3 linked regions of the Notamacropus eugenii genome follow. The protein of the gene in region 1 binds, or shares a complex with, the protein of each later gene. Links are inferred from orthologs where the notes say so. Each region holds a gene or a part of one and is shown in the gene's direction. Other genes may lie near its edges.

Evidence for each region.
Region 2: CEP290 (region 1) and B9D2 share a complex: the UniProt entries of both Homo sapiens proteins name them as parts of the tectonic-like complex. The link is inferred for Notamacropus eugenii from reciprocal best matches to the Homo sapiens genes CEP290 and B9D2.
Region 3: CEP290 (region 1) and AHI1 share a complex: the UniProt entries of both Homo sapiens proteins name them as parts of the tectonic-like complex. The link is inferred for Notamacropus eugenii from reciprocal best matches to the Homo sapiens genes CEP290 and AHI1.

Annotation. Positions count from the first base shown.
Region 1 is NC_092874.1:270,072,941-270,080,704, reverse strand, and holds the start of CEP290 (centrosomal protein of 290 kDa), read left to right. Parts: upstream 1-4,721; 5' UTR 4,722-4,986; intron 4,987-5,248; exon of another isoform or gene 5,249-5,335; intron 5,336-5,756; exon of another isoform or gene 5,757-5,831; intron 5,832-7,639; 5' UTR 7,640-7,667; coding exon 7,668-7,763; intron 7,764-7,764. UniProt on the Homo sapiens protein: Involved in early and late steps in cilia formation. Its association with CCP110 is required for inhibition of primary cilia formation by CCP110.
Region 2 is NC_092876.1:29,864,361-29,871,359, forward strand, and holds B9D2 (B9 domain-containing protein 2), read left to right. Parts: upstream 1-3,910; 5' UTR 3,911-4,085; intron 4,086-4,593; 5' UTR 4,594-4,699; coding exon 4,700-4,787; intron 4,788-5,389; coding exon 5,390-5,515; intron 5,516-5,939; coding exon 5,940-6,253; 3' UTR 6,254-6,521; downstream 6,522-6,999. UniProt on the Homo sapiens protein: Component of the tectonic-like complex, a complex localized at the transition zone of primary cilia and acting as a barrier that prevents diffusion of transmembrane proteins between the cilia and plasma membranes.
Region 3 is NC_092873.1:221,568,008-221,574,941, reverse strand, and holds the start of AHI1 (jouberin), read left to right. Parts: upstream 1-3,845; 5' UTR 3,846-4,197; intron 4,198-6,934. UniProt on the Homo sapiens protein: Involved in vesicle trafficking and required for ciliogenesis, formation of primary non-motile cilium, and recruitment of RAB8A to the basal body of primary cilium.

The DNA of each region.
Region 1 (7,764 bases):
ATTTCCCAACCCTGGGTTGGGAGGCACTAAACAACTAACCTGAGATAAAGCTGGAAGATTTTAGTCTGGAATGCTCCAAGGACAGAAGTCTGGCTACAAAGAGGAGGCGAGAGATTCCGGAAATCAGGAGGAAAGGATGTGACTAAGGAGACAATCTGTTTGTCAAAGAAATAAAGGAGGGTGGTACAATGAAAAGAATACTCATTTTGAAATAAAAATGTGAGTCTTGCTTTTCTTCTTGGGCAAGTCACCTCCCCTATAACATATCTGCCCCTCAGTTTCCTCAACTGTAAAATAAAAAGGAAAGACTAAGATAATTAAACCCCTACTCCTAGCTCTGATTCCTATGAATTTGTCAATATATTCCCTGTTAGCAGGAACATAAATTAAAAAATCAAGCCTCTCATGATTAGTTTGAATCTTTTATAATGTAAATTTTGAAATCCACAGCTTGATATCATTAACAGCTATCAGGCAATATAGACATGGACTTAAAAACTACAAAATGTAGAGAACTATCTTCATATACAAACAATAATACATTGTAGTTGGTCTTAATAAGTTTACATAAATCAATGTAGAGAATCATCTTCAGTACACACAATATCTTTCAAAGTATCTACCATGAAACAATTTCCAAAGGGCCCTGGTTTTCTCTCCTAAATTTACATTTATTTAAAAGGATCATTTCAAGTACAGGCCTGTATGGAGCAAACTCATTTCTCTGTGAGAGATATTAAAGAGATATTAGCAATGTATATTACATTTATTTTAGAAGTGGCTGTAATTTATTTTAGTCAAGGGAATGTGGGCTAGTGCCAATTTTAATGACATGGAGACAGAAGGGAACAAGGGTAGCTCCTAAAAAAATCTAAGCAGTTTCTTGGGGATAACAAATATAGAGGTGTAAAGAAAAGTCCTTCTTGTTTAAATATTTTAATAGGATAAAGAATTCCTAAAAAAGAAAGAAAATGAAACCAGGCTCTAAGATAAGTGTTTCTTTTAAAAGGATCACATCAAAAGCTCTCACTTTAACTCAAATAAATGAAGGCAATGATGTAGACAATGGTTCAGGGCTAGTTTTATTAAATTTTTCCAAGATTAAATAACATACTGAATTAGAACTTGCGTTCAGGTCTCATAATTCCAAGTTAGGTCCATGCTTTAAATACAAAATTTCTAAGCAAGGTTTTCATTCCCCCTGTAAAATCAAGGACTGAAAACATTGTCAATATAAATAATATTTAAATACCTGACTAATAATTATGCTGACATACAATTTGATGGTACTATATACTAAGTAAAGCACTGATGAATGTTTATGTGTCTTTTAAAATCAGTTTAAAATAATCAGTCCTAGTTTCTGGCATATAGAAGGAATCTAAGTTAGCAGACAGAGTGCCAAACTTACACAGAAGATTTTGATCTGGACTGAAATTCTGCTTCTAATTCTTAATAGCATAGACAAGTCATTTAACCTCTCTGAATCTCAGCTTCCTTATCGGTAAAATATGGATAATCTGTAGTACCCACTGCACAGGATTATGAAGCTCAAGTGGGATAAGTTTTATTAAAAAGTCTCTCAATTACTTTTCCTAGTCTTTTGGCATCTTATGCTCCTTTAAATTATATAGTGATGGCATCAATGATTTAATATTTTTGGTCACAGATGTTTTAGATAAATTAAAAACAAAATTCATTACAGTTTGGTAAGAATATAGCATGATTTTCAAAGGGAATTTCTTTTGACATTGACAATGACAGCCACAAAATTCAAGATAGCACTGCCAAAAAGCAAGTATAAAGATAGATTATACACTAGACACTCTTTCCTGGGAAAGCCTTTCCCTGCCAAAACTTTTCACAACTTATCCCTCCCTCTTTTCTGCACTTACTCAAATTCAAATGATCCATGATGTCATCACTTTGGACATTCCCTTCAAAGAAGCAAATTCATGCCTGTCCCTCTTGCCCATCCATGGATTCTTATGCTAGAGGCCTTCCTTGCTTCCTTTAGTCAAACTGTTATCCCTTGCCCTTTTCATGAAACCTGTCCTTTACGTTATTCTTCAAAACTCCTTATTTGTTATATAGTATAGTCTGCTCACAATGACAGTGCCTTCTCTCTGTGTGGACCTCAAGTGCAGTTTGTTGGAGACTGCTGTGTTCCATATCTGATAGTCACTACACACACCATATGCTATTTTGATTGGAGCTCAATCCTTCCTTCATCCCCATACTTCTTGATTTACTAATCCTTATTCACCGGCTCCTTTCCTATTTCTTATGAATAGGCCCCCACCTCCCTCATCCTTACACTTTTTTACTTGACAACATCCTTCCTAGGTGCCTTACTATTCTGCTCTCCTTTCACATCAAGACTCTTAGAAAAGGCTGCCCATATTCATTGCCTACACTTTCTTACCTCAGTCACTCCTCTCTCCTTTTCTCAGTCCTCATTCTCTTTGACCTCTCCCTGACACTCCTGACAGCCATCTTCTTCCTCTGGTTTTCAGGCTCCAGCAGGATCATTATTCTTCTCCTACTTTCTATACCTGCATATATCTCAGGGCCCTCTTGTCTTCTTTTGCTGTACTCTTGATGATCGCAATGGCTTCCAATTATCACCTCTACACTGATGACTTACAGATTTGATCTTTTACAAACAAATATAAACAGTCCTACTATCTCATAACCAGTGGGTGCTTTACAGGCACCTTAAACTCATCATGTCCAAAACAACCCTCATTAGCTTCCCCCATCACTGTTCTCTTTTTCTAACTTGCCCATTTCTATAACCCTGGAGTTGTTCTCAGCTCTTCTTTCTCTAACACATCCAATCAGCTGTCAACTCTTATTAATGCTACAGCCACAATGTATCTTTGATCCATTCACAATGTATCTTTAATTCCCTTCTTTTATATTCCCATGGTTAACAGCCTAATTGAGGCTCTCATCACTTCTCTGCCAACTGACTGAACTATTGCAATAGCCTTGTTCAGTCCTCTCCCTTCTCCAAAGCTGTTAAAGCACAGGTGTATCCATATTCTCTCTTGCTCAAGGAGCTCCAATGGCTCCCTTTTGCCTGGATTGACAAAACAAAAACCAAACCTCATTCTCATTTTTAAAAACCTTCACAATGTGTTAAACTTACTGCTCGTTTCTCTCCTTCACATTATCTACATGCCTCTCAAACTGTCCAGCTTGCTGTTTATTGTATTAGAAATTCCATTTCCTGTCTCCAAGCCTTTGCAAGGGTTGTCTCCTCAAGTCAGGCATGTAGGTCCTCACCAGAACTCTTGGCTTCCTTCACAGTTCAGCACAAGTGCCATTGCCTAAAGGTAGCTGGCTAATATCCCTCTCCAATTCTCCCTCCCCAAATTATCTTATTTTGCCTCACTGCCTTCCTACCAGAGTTTAAACTCTGTCCCTGGGACTTTCAGCTTTCCAGGTGCCTCTTCCAGGCCATTTTCAAATTATGCAGCAATGTACATACTTCCTAAACCCTTTTATGTTTTTTTTTTAAATTCTTCCTTCAGAATATAAAGTGTTTGAGGGCAAGTACTACATTGTTTCCTTCTATCTGTATCTCTAGCACTTAACAGTGACTAGTCCATCTTCACAGTTCCCGAAAACCTGAGTTCAAATCCAACCTCTGACTTACAAGCTGTAAGACCCTAGGGTTTGACTGAATTTTCCCACTTGTAAAATGGGGATAATACCACCTATCTCCCAGAGTTGTGAGAATCAAATGAGATCATACTGGTAAAGCATATGGCACATGGTAGGCACTATGGAAATGCTAGCTGCTGTTATTTTATCCCCAGAACTTGGCAGTCGCCATAAAAACGTTGGCTGTTTATTATTTGTGTATGCCCAGGACTTAGATCGGCACAGTGACTGCTGCACAGTAAGCACCTTATAAATGCTATAATATAATTTGTGTCTGGCTTAATTTATCTTCTCGGACCTGCCTTGCCCAGGGGCACGGAGGCTCGAACTCAGGTCTTCCAGACTCTAATTAATCCACAATCTCCCAAAGTACAGAGTCCGCTCCTGGGGGCAGGGATGGGGGTGGGGGGGCAGCCGCCAGGGATGCGAGAAGTAAGGAAGGGAGGGACTGAGGTGCGGGAGGGGGCGGGGGTGAGGTTTCTTCTCCCCTCCCCCTCCACCAGGTGGCCCCATTTCCTCGCCCAGTTAGTAGAGGCAGAAGAAACTTTTCTCGCTCAGTCTAGAGGAGAGTCAAAAAGGGCGTGGGGCTGGGGAAGACTGGGTTAGGGGGGCGCTACTCCCCCATGTTCCCCCCGCTCTCGGGAGAATGAAGGAAAAGAGGAGGAGGCCGCGGCTGTGTAGGGAGAAAGGGCGACCGCCCGGCCCCGCGCCCGCCGCTCCTTACCCGTCTCCCGCGGAGGGCCTGAGGAGACGCGAAAAGCCCTCTCTGGACGCCGGTCCCGCTGCACCCTCCTCCTCGCCCCTCTGAGAGCGAGCGAGCGCCGCCGGAGACCCGCCAGGGACGTTCCGCACACTCCTCAGACTCCAAAGACTTGCCGCACTGCACGCCGGGAACTGCACACCTCCGTGCGCTCGCCCAGAACTACATCTCCCGTCATGCGCAGCGCATTCCCCGGTGCACTCTGGGAATCGGAGTTCTCGGTTCATCTCCGATCCCAACCTGTGGCGTTGAGACCTCGCTTAGGGCTGGGGCCGTAAAGCATCGCCTAGCGGTCGTGAAATGTAGGCTAGTTCAGCAGTTCGGCATCCGGGACTTCGGGCTGGATCGGTGGTGGCGCTCTACATATCTACGAGACTGGGGCGAGGGGGAGGGAAACCTTCGGGTCGCCTAGCAGCCGCTGCCGCCGCTCTCCCGAGTAGACCCGCTGTGTAGGCGCGGCGCGGGCGAGCTGGCCCGGGCTGAGAGAGGACAGAGCCTCCTCCAGGAGGGCGGGTGCCCTGCGGGACTGTTCCTTCCGCCACCTCCTGTCACCGGTCAGTGCAGTGCGCCAGGGAGCCCTCCCGACTCTCTCTCTCTTCTCTCCTCCAGGTGCCCCCTGCCCAGATCTTACACCTCGTGCGCCAGGGGTGGATGTTGCTTCCCGAGTCCTGGATTAGGAGTCAGCCTGGAGGGTTGGGAGGTCCGCAGGCATCTCCCCGAATCGCTAGGCCTCAGTTTCCCCCTCTGTAAAGCAGTTGGGGCATCTCTGAAGACTCCTTTTAGCTCTAAATCCGTAATTTCTTTTCCTGCTGCCAGGAGCAGAGTGATGCATAACCTGGATTGTGGGAGCTACCTCTTAATTTAGCGAGTGACCCCTACCCCCTTCCACACCCATCAGAACTGGTAAGAATCGGACCCAGTGTATTTTCACGAGCTTTCTTCCGGGGACCAGACCTCTCACCAGCCTCACCTCTGCCCCCTGGCTTCTTCCGTGCTCTCAACCAAAATCTTACCTTCTACAAGCCTTTCCAGCCCCATTAAGTGGTTGGGGAGGTGCCCTCCCCTCCGTGGTTAGCTACAATGTATCCTTCGTGTAGCCGGTGTGTAACATAGTTACTTTCTTCTGCTTTCCCTTTAAACCCCCCCCCCCCCCCCCCCCCCCCCCCCCCATCATTAGACGCCTTGAGGTCTTCTTGAGTGAGCTACTTGAGGGTGTGGTCTGTTTTTGCTTTGTTTGCTCAAATTTTAGCAGCGTGCCCTGGCACCTAATGAATACTTATGGACTTGATTTGGTAAGGATACCTCTTAACGTCTTTTCTTACAGGGGGTCATCCAACCTGTGACAGATCTCCAATGAAGGGAACGGCCCCTTAGGGCAACTTTTGGAGGCAGGCAACAGGTGGGAATGCAAAGAGTGGTGAAGTTAGAAAGGCTTGGGTTCGAATCCTGCAAGATATTGCTCTGAGCCTCCGTTTTTTTCATCTGTAAAATAGGTTTGTTAATAACTCTTACCTCACAAGGTTGTTGTGAGGGACAAGTGAGATCACATGTAAAAACATGTTGCCAACCTTAAAGTGCTATAAGCATATGAGTTGATATTGTCATTATTACCATTTTCATCTTTATAGTAGGTTGTTGTTTTGTCCACATGACCCCAGTTGTGTGCGCAGATACTGGAGTAGCTTGTCGTTTCTTTCTTCAGCTCATTTTACAGATGAGGAAACTGAGGCAAACAGGGTTAAGTGACTTGCCCAGGGTCACACAGCTAGTAAGTGTCTGAGGCTAGACTTGAACCCAGGTCAACCTGACTCCAGATTTGGTGCTCTGTCCTTCTAGCAACCCAGTGCTCTCTAGGTCGGGGCAGGTAGGTGGTGCAGTGGATAGAGCACCAGTGCAAGAGTCAGGAGGACTGAGTTCAAATATTGCCTCAGACACTTGATACATTCACTAGCTGTGTGACCTTGGGCAAGTTGCTTAACCCCAATTGCCTCATCCTGGGTCATCTCCAGTCATTCTGATGAATATCTGGTCACTGGATTCAGATGGCTCTGGAGGAGAAGTGAGGCTGGTAACCTGCACAGCCCTCCCTCACTCAAAACAAAGTCAAGTGCAAGTCATGTCATCATTTCTCTGATAGCATGGTCTGCTTTGGCAACAAAGGACGAACAGACACATACATGCTCTGTAGGCCTCCTAAAACCTTCATTTGTACAAAAACAGTAGAGAACAAGACAGCTGGAATGGTATGTACCTAGTCCCATTTCCGCTTGATTGTGATGAAACCAGGTCTCTATATTTTGAAAGTTTTTTGTTCCAGGTAGTTTAGAGATTATGAGTATTTGTGATGATACCATCTATTAAAAACATTTTTATGAATAAGTGTTATATTTGGGATGTTATATAGAGGACAGTATGGTCAGTGATGACTGTTCATTCCTGTTTTGGTCTGTGGAGTTGTCTAGGGTATTTGGAGGTCTATGTAACATGGAGATTTGTTGTCTGTTAATCCATGAAAGACAGTGCATTTCTGATGCATAATTTTAGCCAGCTGGTTGCATGTTGCTGGGTATTCTGTGGGTGCTAAACTTTTTACAGCCTCTGCTGTGTTTCCCTATACCATTTTCTTGTATAATCTACATTGATCACTAAGTCTGGCCTTATTATTATTGTTTTTTGCTGTGATAGTAATTCCCATTATTGGACAGTTTTTCCTTAACATCAAGTTTGTCTCTTTGCCAATAATTCTCATTACTCATAGATTTTCCCTTTTGGAACTTAGGAGTCAAATCGCTGTGATGTTAAGTACAGACCTACAAAAGAGGGTTATAAATTTAGAGTCAGAAAAGATCTGATCAGTCACTTAGTCCAACTTATTTATTTTAAAGATGAGAAATTGAAGCCCGGTAGGTTAGATGACTTACTAGAGGTAACACAGGCAACAATGGCAAAGTCAGGATTTGAATCCAGATCCTCTAACTTGAAATCCAGCATTCTTTGCACTGTGCCTGATTGCATCTAACTAACTGTAGCTGATCTTTTCATTTTGTTTTAGTGAATTTTGCCCAATTCTTGTTTTCTTTTGTTTGTGTGTAAGGTTAACAACATAATGTGGAACTTCACCCCGTCAGGGGGGATTCTTAGGGAACCCTGTTGTATATCAGTTGTTCTGTTTACTATGGACGTGCTGATGAATATATGTTGTTGCAGGTCCAGAGACACAGTGAAAGAAGTCAAGATGCCTTTGGACTGGAAAACGATACGAAGAGTTAACCCAGATGATTTGCCTCGCCAAGAAGAATTGGCTGATGATTTGCTAATTTCTCTCTCTAAGG
Region 2 (6,999 bases), on another chromosome or scaffold:
ATGATGATGAACTCCTCCACTCTTCCACTCTAACGTACTTGACCATTGGTCATCCAGTATCTATCGCCTCTCAAGGAGGCATATTTCATGTCTGGAGAATTCTAATCAGTAGGAAGTTTGTCCTGAAAACAAGCCTCAACTTACTTTGCCTTTTTGCAACCTCATCTATTACTCTGGGCCTTGAGCTGAGGTAGCTCAGTGGATTGAGTGCTGAGCCAAGAGGCAAGGGGACCTGAGTTAAAATCTGTGCTCAGATACTCAATGACTGTGTGATCCTGAGCAAGTACCTTAATGTCTACCTGCCTCAGTTTCCTCAACTTCTCCAGACCAAAGAGAACACCTCTATTCTCTCTGCTACATAACAGCCCCTGTGCGTTCTCTCCCAGCCTAGCATTTATAAACTGTCTCCAGTCTACTTTTCCACACTTACTGACCCTTACTCTTTTTCATTCTACTTTCTAGTCAAACTGGCTCATTCCTCAGCATGGGAGGTGCTCTTTCATCTTCTCACGGTGTCTCTTGTGCTTGGAATGCATCCCTGCCTCCCCTCTGCCTGCCTGACTCCCCAACTTGTATGCAGGCACAGCCCAGGGGCCTTTCCCTCTTCAAAGTTTTTTTTTAAATTTTGGGTTTTTTTAGGTCAACAAAATTTTCCCCAGCATTTATCACCATCCCTCTGCCCATCTCATATGTTATTTCCTTTTTATATGTAAAGAGCATGTATCTACCATTGGGGCATCTGGCTCTTCCATCCTGGCACTAACACAGGAGACTCTGGATGTTATATCTGAGCCAGCCAGCAGGTGGAACCTGCGAGCCTGAGCTGAGAGTTAGAGTAATTGTGCATGGGTGGACTGACATCAGCAGTGGACATGAGCCTACGGGGAACTGAGCAAGCTCAAGCCCCAGCTGTCTCCGGCTCTGCTCAGCTGGATTCTTTTCAGCATTGGGCACATGGAGGGACAAGACAGCCTTGTCAGTGTCCATCTTCCACATCCCTTGAGGGGTGTCTGTCTAGCCGAAAACTATGAGAGTTTCTATGCCAATGCACATGCTACGAGATGGCTCTAGCCCCAGCATCCATGGGCAGCAGCAACTTCCAGGGATTATTCAACTCTTGTACAGGTGAAAGGACTTTGCATAATCTAAACCGAAAAGTGAAAGATACAGAATGAGAATTATGGGGCAGCTAGTGTGAAATTCCCCCACCCTTCTCTTGCGTCAGGGGAAGTGGTTTTAAGATGAAGGGAAGGGAGAAGCCAATCACCTTCATCCCATTTCAGACCCAGGTGATTCAGGGTCAAGTAATCTCCATCTGTTAGCCAGCTCAGGAAGCTCCCCAGGCTTCTTGAATTACTTACAAAGTCCCTTCTTCCTCTGACAGGTGCCATCTCTTCCTTCCTGCTGTGCTGGACTCTTGCTTAGGCCTCTTGTTCTCCAGGCCAAGCACCATGGCCTTCTTTGAAAAAGTCCCTATATGGTGTGACATTAGATAACCTCAGGAAACTGCCTTCCAATTAAATGCCCAGAGGCCATTCTAGCATTAAAAGACTGCAGGAAAACAATAAGTGTTGGCTGAAACAGGCTGCTTCAGACAGAGGTGACATAGCTATTGACCTATCTCCAATGTGTTTATCCATCCACACCTACATAACTATCTTTCTAACGATATCACCTCTCTCTATATCTATCTAATCTATTCATCCATCCATCCACATCGATCTATAGATAAGGGGCAGCTAGGTGGTGCAGTGGATAGAGCACCAGTACAGGAGTCAGGAGGACCTGAGTTCAAATCTCACCTCAGACACTGGACATTCACCTTGGGCAAGTCACTTAACCCCAAATGCCTCATCCTGGGTCATCTCCAGTCATCCTGATGAATATCTGGTCATTAGATTCAGATGGCTCTGGAGGAGAAGTGAGGCTTGTGACCTGTACAGCCCTCCCTCACTCAAAAAACAAAAGTCAAGTGCAAGTCATGTCATTATTTTTCTGATGGCATGGTCTTCTTTGGCACCGAAGGACGAACACACATCTATAGATATCACCCATCCATCCATCCATCTCCGATTTATTTATCCATCCACACCTACATATCTATTTATCTTTCTATTGATATTGCCTCTCTCTATTTATATCTATCTAATCTATCCATCTGTATGTAAGGTGAATTTTAGTGTGTGTAAAGTGAATTTTTGTAATTATTTCTCAGAGTCAGTTTCCCAGGATCCATAGCCATAACAATCTCTGGTTCCCAGGTACTAGATATGAGTCCCACAGTTATGGTTCGAAGTGTCTCCACCACGCTTGCGCATGGTTATATAATGGTGAATAACATAAACATCCACTGCGGCTGCACAGTGAGATACAGGGATGGGGCGATGGAAACTTGTGAGGCTGCTACTGGCAATCTGCCTTCTTTGTCTGCTGGCCTATAAAACAGGTGGTCACTAGATAGTGAATGGGTAACCCTTAGTGTTGAATGCACAAGCTGGAATGCTGTGTGTGCCTTGATCAGACCCCATCAAGGTTTGGAGGGAATCTGTGTTTGTCTCAACTGGCCCCCACTGAGGCTTGGGGATTTAGGGGACGCACAAGTTGTGCCTGTCCCGATTGACCCCATAGAGACATAGGAGTAGTTGCCCCCGCTTCTCACCAGCCCCTGTGAGAAGGGTGATTAGTGAATGCTGTAGGAGTTTGTGCTCTTACTATCAGCAACTTCTTCAGAAAGAACTAGACTAGAATAAAGTAAGATTATTAACCCCTTTTTAGTGTCTTTCCTGTCTGACCAAATCAAGAGTGAACCTGTGCTAGCAGCCCTCAAGTGTGCTGTGTTTTCATCTGTCTTACACCATCCATCCACATTTATCTATTTCACCCAAATACCTATATTCATCCATCCACATCTATAGATATCACCCATCCATCATCTAATTTAATTATCCATCCACACCTACATATCTATCTATATCACCTCTCCATTTATATCTATCTAATTTATCCATCTATCCATATCCATATCTATGATCTACCTTCATCCATCCATCCACATTTATCTATCTCATCCTCTATATACTTATATCTATCCATTCATATCTAATTTATCCATCCATCCATCCATCCATCCATCCATCCATCCATCCATCCATCCACCCATCCAACCATCCGTCCATCCATCCATCCATCCGTCCATCCATCCATCCACCCATCCTTCCATCCATCCCTCTACACCATCTGTCTGTGCACATGTGTAATCCCTCAGCAGAATGTAATGTCCTTGCCTCATTTTTGTCCTTCCTCACTGCCTGGAACACGGCAGACACTTAATAAATGTATGCCGATTGATCACTTCCCAGCTCCAGCCAAATATTGCTTCAGGGATTGCTTTCTTTTTGACCTTGTAGCCTCAAGCACTTTATAAGAGGCCTGAAATGGATGGGATTTCTGGGGGTGGCTGCACTGAGAAGAAGGCAGTTTTCAGCAGGACTGACAGGTGCTATGCGGGAAGAAAGTGGTTTTACCGAGAGTGGCAGGACAGGGTTTTCCTCTTGGTTGTACGGAATAAGAAGGTGGAAGGAAGGTGAGGGACACACTCAACATGGCCGCATGCTTAAGCCCACCTGCCACACTTAACATGGCACGCGGTCACTCTATTCCACCCCCACCCACTCCCGGCTAGAACGTTTTATGAACTAGAGCCTGTTAGACATAGTCTCTTCCCAGCTCCTGAACCGCAGACCAATCAGCGCCCAACAATGGGGTGGGCGCAAGGGATCTTGGAAGGAATCGCCTTCCGAAAGGACCAATCAGCAGTGTGCTGGGCGGGCACACACAAAGGGAAAGGGAGCTCTTTCATTATCGCCCCGCCCCATTCTATCTGAGGCCCAATCAGCGGCGTGCGAGGGGAAGGCGAGAGATACCTACTGGTCCCATTTCCTCTCCGACGACCAATCAGCGACGCGAAGGCGTGCACGAATGGTGCGCAGAGAAGACCGCGAGCTTCTGTTGCCAGAGCAACGGCCGGAGCAGGCCCCGGAAGCCGTTCACCCTGCTGACGGTCCCGAAATCTTCAGGTTTCTCGGGTAAATGAGGGGTAGGGGAGGCGAGGGTCGGGCGCCGAGAGACGCGAGTACGTGTTCCTGTACAGTTGTGCTTGCCAGAGAAACAGCGCCTGCGCAGAGGCTGGAGTCATGAGCGTTTTGCCTCGCTCCGGGGATACTGCGCATGTCTATTTGGAAGGAGGGGGCGGAGTTATAAGCCCTAAGGGGAGGAGCTATGGAGATGGGCGGAGTTACCGAGTCTGTAGCTAATAGCGCATATGCCTACATGTATACGTACGTATATATCGTTTTAAGTTTTGCAAAGCGCTTGCTTTACAGATATTATCTAATTGAACCTCAGAACAACCATGGAAAGTCTGTGCTATTATTATCCCCATTTTGAAGTTGAGGAAACTGAGGCAGAGGTTGTGACTTGTCCAGGGTCACTCAGCTACTAAGTGTCTGAGGCTGGATTTGAACCCAGATCTTCAAGACTTTGGGTGCACTGTTCTATCCACTCAATTGAAATCATGATGTGCTCATTTTACAGATGAGGAAACTGAGGCCCAGAGACATGTCCAAGGTCAGGCAGCAGTTTGGTCGCTGCTGAACTTCATTCTTTGTAGTCTTCTGACATCTCTCCTCTCCACTGGGCCATGGCTGAGGTCCATGTCATTGGGCAGATCATTGGGGCAACAGGTTTTTCTGAGAACAGCCTCTTCTGCAAGTGGGGTGTCCATACTGGTAAGTATGTGGGGATAGCATGGCCTCATCTGTTCACATCTCTGGGGAGTCCTCTATACCTTCCCCCCACCCCCGGGGAACTTGACCCTTGACCTTCCTTGTGCACTCAGCTGGAGAGAGTGTGGAACAGAAGGGGAAAGTCCTGAGGTCTTCCTCCTGATTCTTCAGGACCTGTACCCCAAATTGTATCTCCACAGCAGAGTCTTTGCCCACTTAATGGGTGGGTGGGAGATCCTTCAACTCCAAAGAGGCCTAGACCCCCCTCCTTTCCTTCTTTCCTTGGGGACTGTGAGAGTCTTTAGTGGGGGGTGGGAGTGTGGGGATATGAGGAAGGTTTTCGTCCTACATGGAACTTACTGCCCTTCTTTTTGGCTAGACTAGATTTGGAATTATAGAGGCAGAAAGGGACCTAGAGATTTCAGCCAGGAAGCTCTTTTTACAGTAGAAGAAGCCAAAGTCTAATTAGGTCACTGATGGGACCAGGACTTGAGCCCAGGGCTCTTTCCAGTGCCATAGCGGCCCCTCCCTCTAACCCAACAGAATCCCTTCTTCTAGTCCCTCCCTCCCTCCCCTCAGTGACCCTTTCCTTTCCTGACTGGCAGGAGGAGCATGGAAACTGCTGTCCGGTGTTCGGGAAGGCCAGACACAAGTGGACACCCCTCAGCTGGGTAGCATGGCCTACTGGTCTCACCCAATTGACCTGCATTTTGCCACCAAAGGCCTACAGGGTAAGGGCAGGGGTCCCAGGCTCTGAGTAAGTGAGCTGGGAAGGGACTGCTCCAATTGGACAGGGAGATGAGGCTCTGTCCAGTTCAGGGCACCTAGTAGTCCTTCAGGCTGGACCCTGGGGTTGGGGAATCCCACCTGGACCCCCAGAGACTGGGAAGGTTGAAGAGAAAGACAAAAGAGACTCAGAGATGGTCTGTGTTGTTTATTAGACCTGACAGATCTGTCATTTGTGGGTGCTCCTGGTCAGAATATGGGCATCAGTGGTTGGCGGGAGCAGCTTAAGATGGCAGAATGCCTTTGGGGGACTGGGAGTGGCTACAGGAGCCTGAACAAAATCAGGGAAGGAAGACAGAAACCCAAGCCTTGGGAAGAAGGGCAGACTTGGCCAGCAGAAGACTGAGGTAGACCCTCTCCTCTCCCCAGGCTGGCCTCGGCTCCACTTGCAAGTGTGGTCTCAGGACGTCTTTGGCCGCTGCCAGTTGTCCGGCTATGGCTTTTCCCACATTCCCAGCAGCCCCGGCATCCATAGCCTTGACTGTGTGACATGGCGCCCCTTGGGTGGCTGGCGGGAGCAGTTGGCTCGGGCCTTCGTGGGTGGTGGGCCCCAGCTGCTACACAGTGATGTAGTCTACAGCGGGGCCGACCGATACCGGCTCCACACAGCAGCAGGGGGCACCGTGCACCTGGAGCTGGCCCTGATCCTGAGAAACTTTTCCCGATATGGGGTTGAGTGCTGAGCACCTCGGCCAGCTCCCAAGCCCTTATCCCTCCATCCCCCAATTCTCCATCTCACTTCCTTCCCTCCCCTCCTCTTTTCTGTCTGTCCCCGGGCTCCTGGCCTCAGCAATCAATCAACCAACTCTTACTGAACTTTTATTATGTGCCAGGTACTGCCCTAAGAAAGCCTTGGGGTACCAAGAAGGAGCAACATGGCTCTGTCCTGGGGCATCCATGTCAATGGGGGCGATTTCATGTAAAGAAATATATGAATTGGTCTATACAAGATTCCGACAGAGTACAAACATCTCATTTCTATCCCTTCCTTACTGTCAGACCTGAGTCCAACCCCTTGTTTCACCAGAGGGGGAAACTGAGCCCAGGGATGCCCTGGTTGAGTGACTGAGCCCCAAAATGTCCGAGTTCAAGGGAGTCTTAGAGACCCTGGATGCCATCTAGTTCATTCCACTCTTTGGAAAATGGGGACACCTAGGTCCCTAAAGTGAAAAGCGCCTACTTCCAGGGACCTGGAGCCCGGGGTCCAGCCATTGCAGGGCCTTCTTAGACCCACTTCCTGGACTCCTTCTGGGCCGGGTGGATGATGTTCCCCTTGTGACCCTCCCCTTCTGCTCTTTCCCCTTTCCTCCCCTCCTTGGGTCATTCCCCCCAGAGGCCAGGCTGTCTTTTCAGCGCCCCCAGCACCCCAATAATCCCGGCTATTTTCTCCTCCATTTTCTGTCCCCCCCTCCTGCCGCGGTGTTTTCTC
Region 3 (6,934 bases), on another chromosome or scaffold:
CTTTTGAATTTTTTTTCTTCATATTGTTACCACAGAATTTATCTTGGTTATGCTCATTTCAGTCTGCTTTAGTGCATATAGTATCTTTCCTTTTGTAATTTCTTATGGTTCTATGTATCCCATTAAATTCATATAACATAATTTGTTCAGCCAATCTCCAAGGGATTTGGCATCTTTTTAGTTACAGTATTGTTGCTAAAACTAAAAGAATTACTACAAAATACTTCTCTGTGTGTGGATCTTTTCCCTCTTTCTTTGATCTCCTTGGGGGTATCACTTTGGGATCTAAAAGCAGAATCAAATAGTGAGTCAAATAGCATGCACAATTAGTTTAGTGACTTTTGGAATATAGTTACAATCACTTTGTGGAATGCTGGACAGATCTGTAGTTTTACCAACTATGCATTAGTATGCTTGTCTTTCTCAGAGTCTCCCTATCATCATCATTTTGCTTTCCTTCCCCCCATTTTTACCAATCTCTTGAATGTGAGGTGGGAAATCAGAGTTGTTTTAATTTGCATTTCTCTGATTATTAGTGATTTAGAGTGTTTTTTTATAATGGCTGTGATTTATAAATTTTTTTTCTTTAGGAAGCTAATTTATAGCTCATTCAATTTATTTTTTCGAATCAGGATTATCTAAATCCTCTATTTCTTCTTCTATAAATCTAGATATTTTATAAATTTGTAGATAGTAATCTATTTCATTTTAATTATCAAGTTTTATTGGCATAAAATTAGAGGTAACCAGTGGTTCAATCTTATTTGCATAAGAGCTCTCCTCATTGATGGAGAATTACTTTGTGTCTTATAGAGGGGCATCACTGTTGAGCACTTGCTTGAAGAGAGGTACTTGTAGTGGCTTCCAGTTTTGACAGAGGAGATACATGGTAATAGAATTTTCTTCAGAAAAATGTCTCTGAAGGGAGGGAAAGAATCTGGGGAAAAGCTGACATAAAAGATCTGGCACCTTAACAGTATTTCTTTATTGATATTAATTTTTTCTGCCTTACTTTCTGAACTCAGCCCTAACTTCTGAATGTGCCAGGTCAGCTGTGAAGAAATAATGGTGCTTTGTTTGGCCCAGATCAGTATCACCTAGGGTCTTTCTAATGCTTCCTCCAAATACTGAGCTGCATGTTCTTCAAGGACCTTGGGTGGCTCAGGCTAGTAAATTGCTGACTTTCAGAGCTTTTTCTTCAGGCTCTGGCCAGGTCTAACTATTGCCTTCTAGATCTGAGCTTTGCAGACTCCTGACCCAGTTCTGGGATCACACCTACACACCTATAGAATCCAAGTGTTTGTAACTCTCCCCTAGGGGTATATATCTGCAGGCTAAATTTTTCCCTAGCTCTCCCCTCCTCAACTGATGACATGTTTCTGTGGACTTCATTCATGAACCTGGAATTTTTGACTGGACCCCATGCATAGTTTCCAGCCTACACAATCAAAGTCTCTAGGTTTTCCCCAGTTCAGCCTTGATCTACATGCTGGAAGCTTTCTTGTGCTATGCTACATAGTTGTTTATTCCCCCCTGACTGGACTTTACTAGTAACCATAATCTGGTTCTATCTTTTCATTATGCCCCTCCCTGTCCCCACTTTAGCATTCTCTTCAGACTTACCAGGCAATTAGTCAACAAACAAATAATTTAAGTGCCTAGTATTTCTAGGAACTGTGCTACAAGCTGTACATAAGTACAAAAGATAAAGCATTTCCTGGTTGCAATGATCTTACATTCTAATGAAGAGACAAAAAGTACATATAAAATAAATACACAGTATAAAGATTAAATAAATACAAATACAATAAGATACAATACAAAGTAATTAAATACAAGGTAGTTTGGGAGGAAAAGCACTAGGAGTTGAGACCAGGAAAGTATTTATATAGAAGATAGTACCTGAGCTGCATCTTAAATGGGTGTTGGTTAGGAGGGAATCACTGGAGAAAGAAATGGCAAACCACTCCAGAATCATTGCCAAGAAGACCTCTTGAACAGTATTAGCTTGCTATGGTCCATGTGGTCATGAAGAGTCAGGCATGAGTGAGTAAACAAGCAAGGACAGAATGCATTCTAGGAAGATGGGAGATGGGAGTGGGGAGCAAAGAGAAAGCCAGTTTGATTGTGTCGCAGTTATGGTAGGGGAAGTAATGTCCATTGAGGCTGCAAAGAGGTTGAGGCCCAGTTATATGGAGTGAGAAAAGCTAAATAAAAGGTCATCTTAGAGGCAATAGGAAGTCATTGGAACTGGCTGAGCAGGGGAATCATATGGTGAAATCTGTGCTTAAAGAACAATATTTTAGCATCAGTTAGGAGGCTGTTGGAATCATTTAGGTGAGATGAGAGCTTGGAGAAAGTTGGCAACTGTGTGAGTGGAGAGAAGGGCTTGAATGTCAGAGGTGTTAAGGTAGAAAGAACAAAATTTGGCACCTTATTACATGTGGTATGAGCCAGGGTGAGATAATGCTAAGATTATGAACCTAACACATTGGAAGAATTATGGTGCCTTCAACAGTAATTGGTAAGTTTGGAAGAGGGGAGGGTTTAGGGAAAGGGTTCTTTACCTTTTTTGTTTCAGTTCTCTTTAGAAGTTTAGTGAAGCTTATATACCCCTTCACTTTTTACTTGCCTAGCTGCTTCTTCTCAGTCTCTTTTACTTTTTTTTTCATTCTGGTCATGTGTACTAACTCTTGTGTATCCCCCAAGTTTTTGTTATTATCTTTCCCTCTCCAAACTTTCCCCTTCCTGATCTTTCCTATTACTATAAATCTTCCTGTTCACCTAGGCTCTCAACTTAGGTATCACCTTCAACTCCTGTCTTTTTTTGTACCCCATTGTATGGCATAGTGCCAGGAACACAGCAAGTGCTTAATACATGCTTGTTGACTTCTCACAACATTTTTTTGAAAGGATAAAATACATAGGATTACAAAGAAAACTAATTATATTGAAATAATTAACAAAAAAATGAATAATTCCTGGTTTGGAGGGGAAAATGAATTCAGTTTTAGACCTATAGAGTTTAAGAATTTTTCAGGATGTCCACTTTGAAATATTCGCTAGACAATTTAATGATGCAGGATTGAAGCACAGGGGAGACTGAGGCTAAATATGCACATTTAGGAGTCATCAGCATAGAGGTCATAGTGAAATCCACAGCAGGTGATGAGGTTATCGATAGAGTATGTTGGTTCAATGGTTGTTCCACATATTCAATATTCCCTTTTTTGCCTTTGAACTGTGAATACACAACAACTTCACCTAGGTCTCTTAGAAATCTTAATTTTCTCCAGCTTAGTTTTAGTGCTGCCTCATAGGAGAGGCCCTTCTAGATTCCCTGTTGGCCAGTTATTATTCTCCCACCAAAAAATTATGTCCTATATATTTTATATTGATTTATAGAGCTACGTTTTATTTTACCCTATTGTAAGAAAGCTCCTTGAGGGCAGCCCCTTACATGTACTAAGTCCTTAAAAAAATACTTGAAGAAGTGAATGATCTTTCCAAATCAATTAATAACAGCTGAAAAGGACACGGGGCTAAGCCTGATGAAAGGAAGAACTTTCTAAGGTTAAAGCAGGGATATTTTACTCGTCTATTTTGATAACTTTCCTACATTCTAATGTATGCCTTTTATTTTATGCATTCAAAACCAGGACTCTGAGAAGAGTTTCATCTGACTGCCCTACGGGTCAAGGACTGATAAAAGGGTAGTATTAGAGATGAATTTGGGCAGTCCCTAAATATTCTGAGTAGGCTCCGCCCCTCTTCCACTTAAGGGGAGGGGCACGCAGGCCGGCAGACCAATCCGGGCTCTCTGAGGCGCCCCAGCCAGCGCCGTTGCTATTGGCTGGAGCTCTGGAGGAAACAGGAGGGGAGGGCCCCCTCCTACCTCTTCGGTTGCTATCGGCAACGGAGCGCCGCGGTAACTGACGTAAACGCCTCGCTCCGCTCAGCTCTAGACTCCGGTCCTCCTCCCTCTCCCTCCCCGTCCCACCTCTAATCCCTTTCGTCTCCACCCCCTTCCCAGCCCTAGCCGCCGGTTTCAGCAGGGAGCCGGTGGCCTTCTCCTTCCCGCCGGGCAGAGCTAGGCGCTAGCGCTTCTCCCTTCCGTTGGTTAGGTCGGTCAGCCGGCGTCGATTTAGGGAAAAGGACGGAGGCCAGCCGCTTCCCCGGGCTGCGCGTCCCCTCCTGGTGAGTCGGCTGCTCTCCGGGCTGTCAGCCGCTGACTTTTCCGGCCTGCGGCGACCATGGCTAACTTGGGTTTGTCCGGGCCGCTCCTGCGTGGGTGTGCGCGTGCGCGCTTGCGTACTTGAGTGTGTACCTTAGCCTCGCGCTGGCGGTACGTGGCTGCTGCTGCCGACGTGCCCCTCGCCTGCCCACCCCCACCGCCCGCGCTGCGCGTCCCCGGGGGTGCGTGCGCCTTTGCCCAGGCCCGTGGTGGCTACCACCGCGCTGCTGCACGTGTCTGTGCCCACGCGAGGCGCCAGGGGGCGAGAATTGACTTCGAGAACTCACGGTTGATTAGTATTTCGGACTCTTGACCACCAGAATCTCACGGGTTTTCTGATTCCGGAGGGAGGGATCCCAGAGCCCACCTAAATTATCCAGCCTGTACTAGCAGAACATTTCCAGATATTGGCAACATTTCGTCGTGGTGTTGGCTTCGGGGGTGGGGGGGAGGGGGGAGTATTTTGTCGCACACGTTTTGTTTTTCTTTCCCTTTTTTGCATATTTTGTTACACGAGTTTTTTCCTTTTTGTGTGTGCACACTTTGTTACACAGGTTTGGTTTGGTTTTGCTTTTGATGGAGTTAGAAATCCAAGACAAATAAAGTAAAAAAATATGCTGCAGTCTGCTTTTGGAGATCATCTGTACTCTGGCATTTTGTCGTGAATCATTGTATTGATCTGAGCAACTAAGTAATTCATAGTTGCTCATTGTTACAATATAACTGTTCCTGGATACAATGTTCTGACTTCACTTTGCTTGAAGATCTGAATTCACATGTGACCTCAGACACTTACTAGCTGTGTGATCCTGGGCAAGTCACTTAACCTCTATTTACTTCAGTTCTTTATCTATCAAATGAGGTAACACTGGAGAACACCCCATAGATAAAAGTCCATGGGGTCACTTAGAGTCAGACATGATTGAATGGCTGAACTACAACAACAGTGGTGTTGCTGGTATGCAGTTTTATACCCCTTTGAGTGTAGTTCCAAATTGTTCTGCAAAAAGGCTGAACCAGTTAACAACTCCACCAGCAGTGCATTAGTGTCTCAATTTATCCATATCCCCTTCTGCATTTGTTATTTTCCTTTTATGTTATCTTATACATACAGCCTGATAGCTGAGAGGTTGTGCTTCAGAGTTGTTTTAATTTGCATTTCTGGTGATTTAGAACATTTTTTATGTGACTGTTTATAGCTTTGATTTCTTCTTCTGAAAACTACCTGTTCATATCCTTTGACCATTTATCAACTGGGGAATGGCTCTTATTTTTGTAAGTTTGGTTCAGTTCTCTATATATTTGAGAAATGAGGTTTATATCAGAGAAATTTTGTTGTAAAATCTGCACACACACACACAGAGTTTTCTTTTTTCCTTCTAATTTTGGCTGCATTAGTTTTGTTTGTACAAAAGTTTTTAATTTAATGTAATCAAATTACTCAGTTTATTTCCTGTGATCCTCTGTATGTGTTGTTTGGTCATGAAGTCTTCCTTTAGCCATATATCTGATAGGTACGTTTTTTTCATGCTCTCTGATTTACTTATATTACCCTTTATGTCTAAATCATTTATCTATTTTTGACTTTATCTTGGTAGATGTTGTGTGATGTTGGCCTATGCCTTATTTCCTCCAAGCTGCTTTCCAGTTTTCCTAGCAATTTTTGTCAAATATTGAGTTCTTACTTCAAAAGCCTGGATCTTTGCCTTTATTAAACGCTAGTTTGCCATGGTCTATTCCACTGACCTACCATTCTATTCCTTAGCCAGTACCAGATTGTTTTGATAATTACTGCTTTGTAATATAGTTTGAAATGTGGAACTGCTAGGTTGCCTTTCTTCACATTTTTTTTCATTCATTCCCTTGACATTCTTGACTTGTTCTTCCATGTGGATTATGTTATTATTTTTTCTAATTTTATCAAATAATTTTTTTTGATAATTTGATTGCTATGGCACCGAATAAATTACTTGTGATAGAATCATTATTTTTATTATATTGGCTCTACCTGTCCATGAGCAGTTAATATTTCTCCCACCATTAAGATCTTCCTTTATTTGTGTGAAGTGTTTTGTAATTTTGTTCATATAGTCCCTGGGTTTATCCCGGCAGGTAGCCTCCCACATATTTTATTTTGTCTGCAGTTATTTTAGAAAAGACATATGCAGACAGATAGGAAGTACCAGAATAGACCAATATGTAGAGAGAAAAGAGTACCCAGGAGAAGAGGGTGATTAACTGTTAAAAGTTATAGAGAAGTCAAGCATGGTCAGCTGAAGCAAATAGATTATGCTCCAGCCCCTTATTTTATCTGTGTGTGCGTGTGTATGTGTATTTCCCTGTTTCAAGCAACATATAAGTAACATATTATTGTATTCTGGTTTCTAATCCTTCTGCTATCTGCTTCCATTTTATAAATGAGTTCATTCCATTCATATTCACAGTTATAATTACTGTGTATTTCCCTTCATCCTATTTTCTGTTTATTCTTCTCTTTACCCTATCCGTCCTCTAAAGTCTGTTTTGCTTCTGATAACTGCCTTCTTTCATCTGCCTACCCTTTTGTCATCCCCCTACCCCTTCCCATAGTCTTTTTTTCTCCTACTTTCCTGTTGAGTAAGATAAACTTATATTACCACTTGAGTATCTCTTCCACATTGTGACTTTCCCCATTGTGGTTTTTGATATATCGAGTCAGTA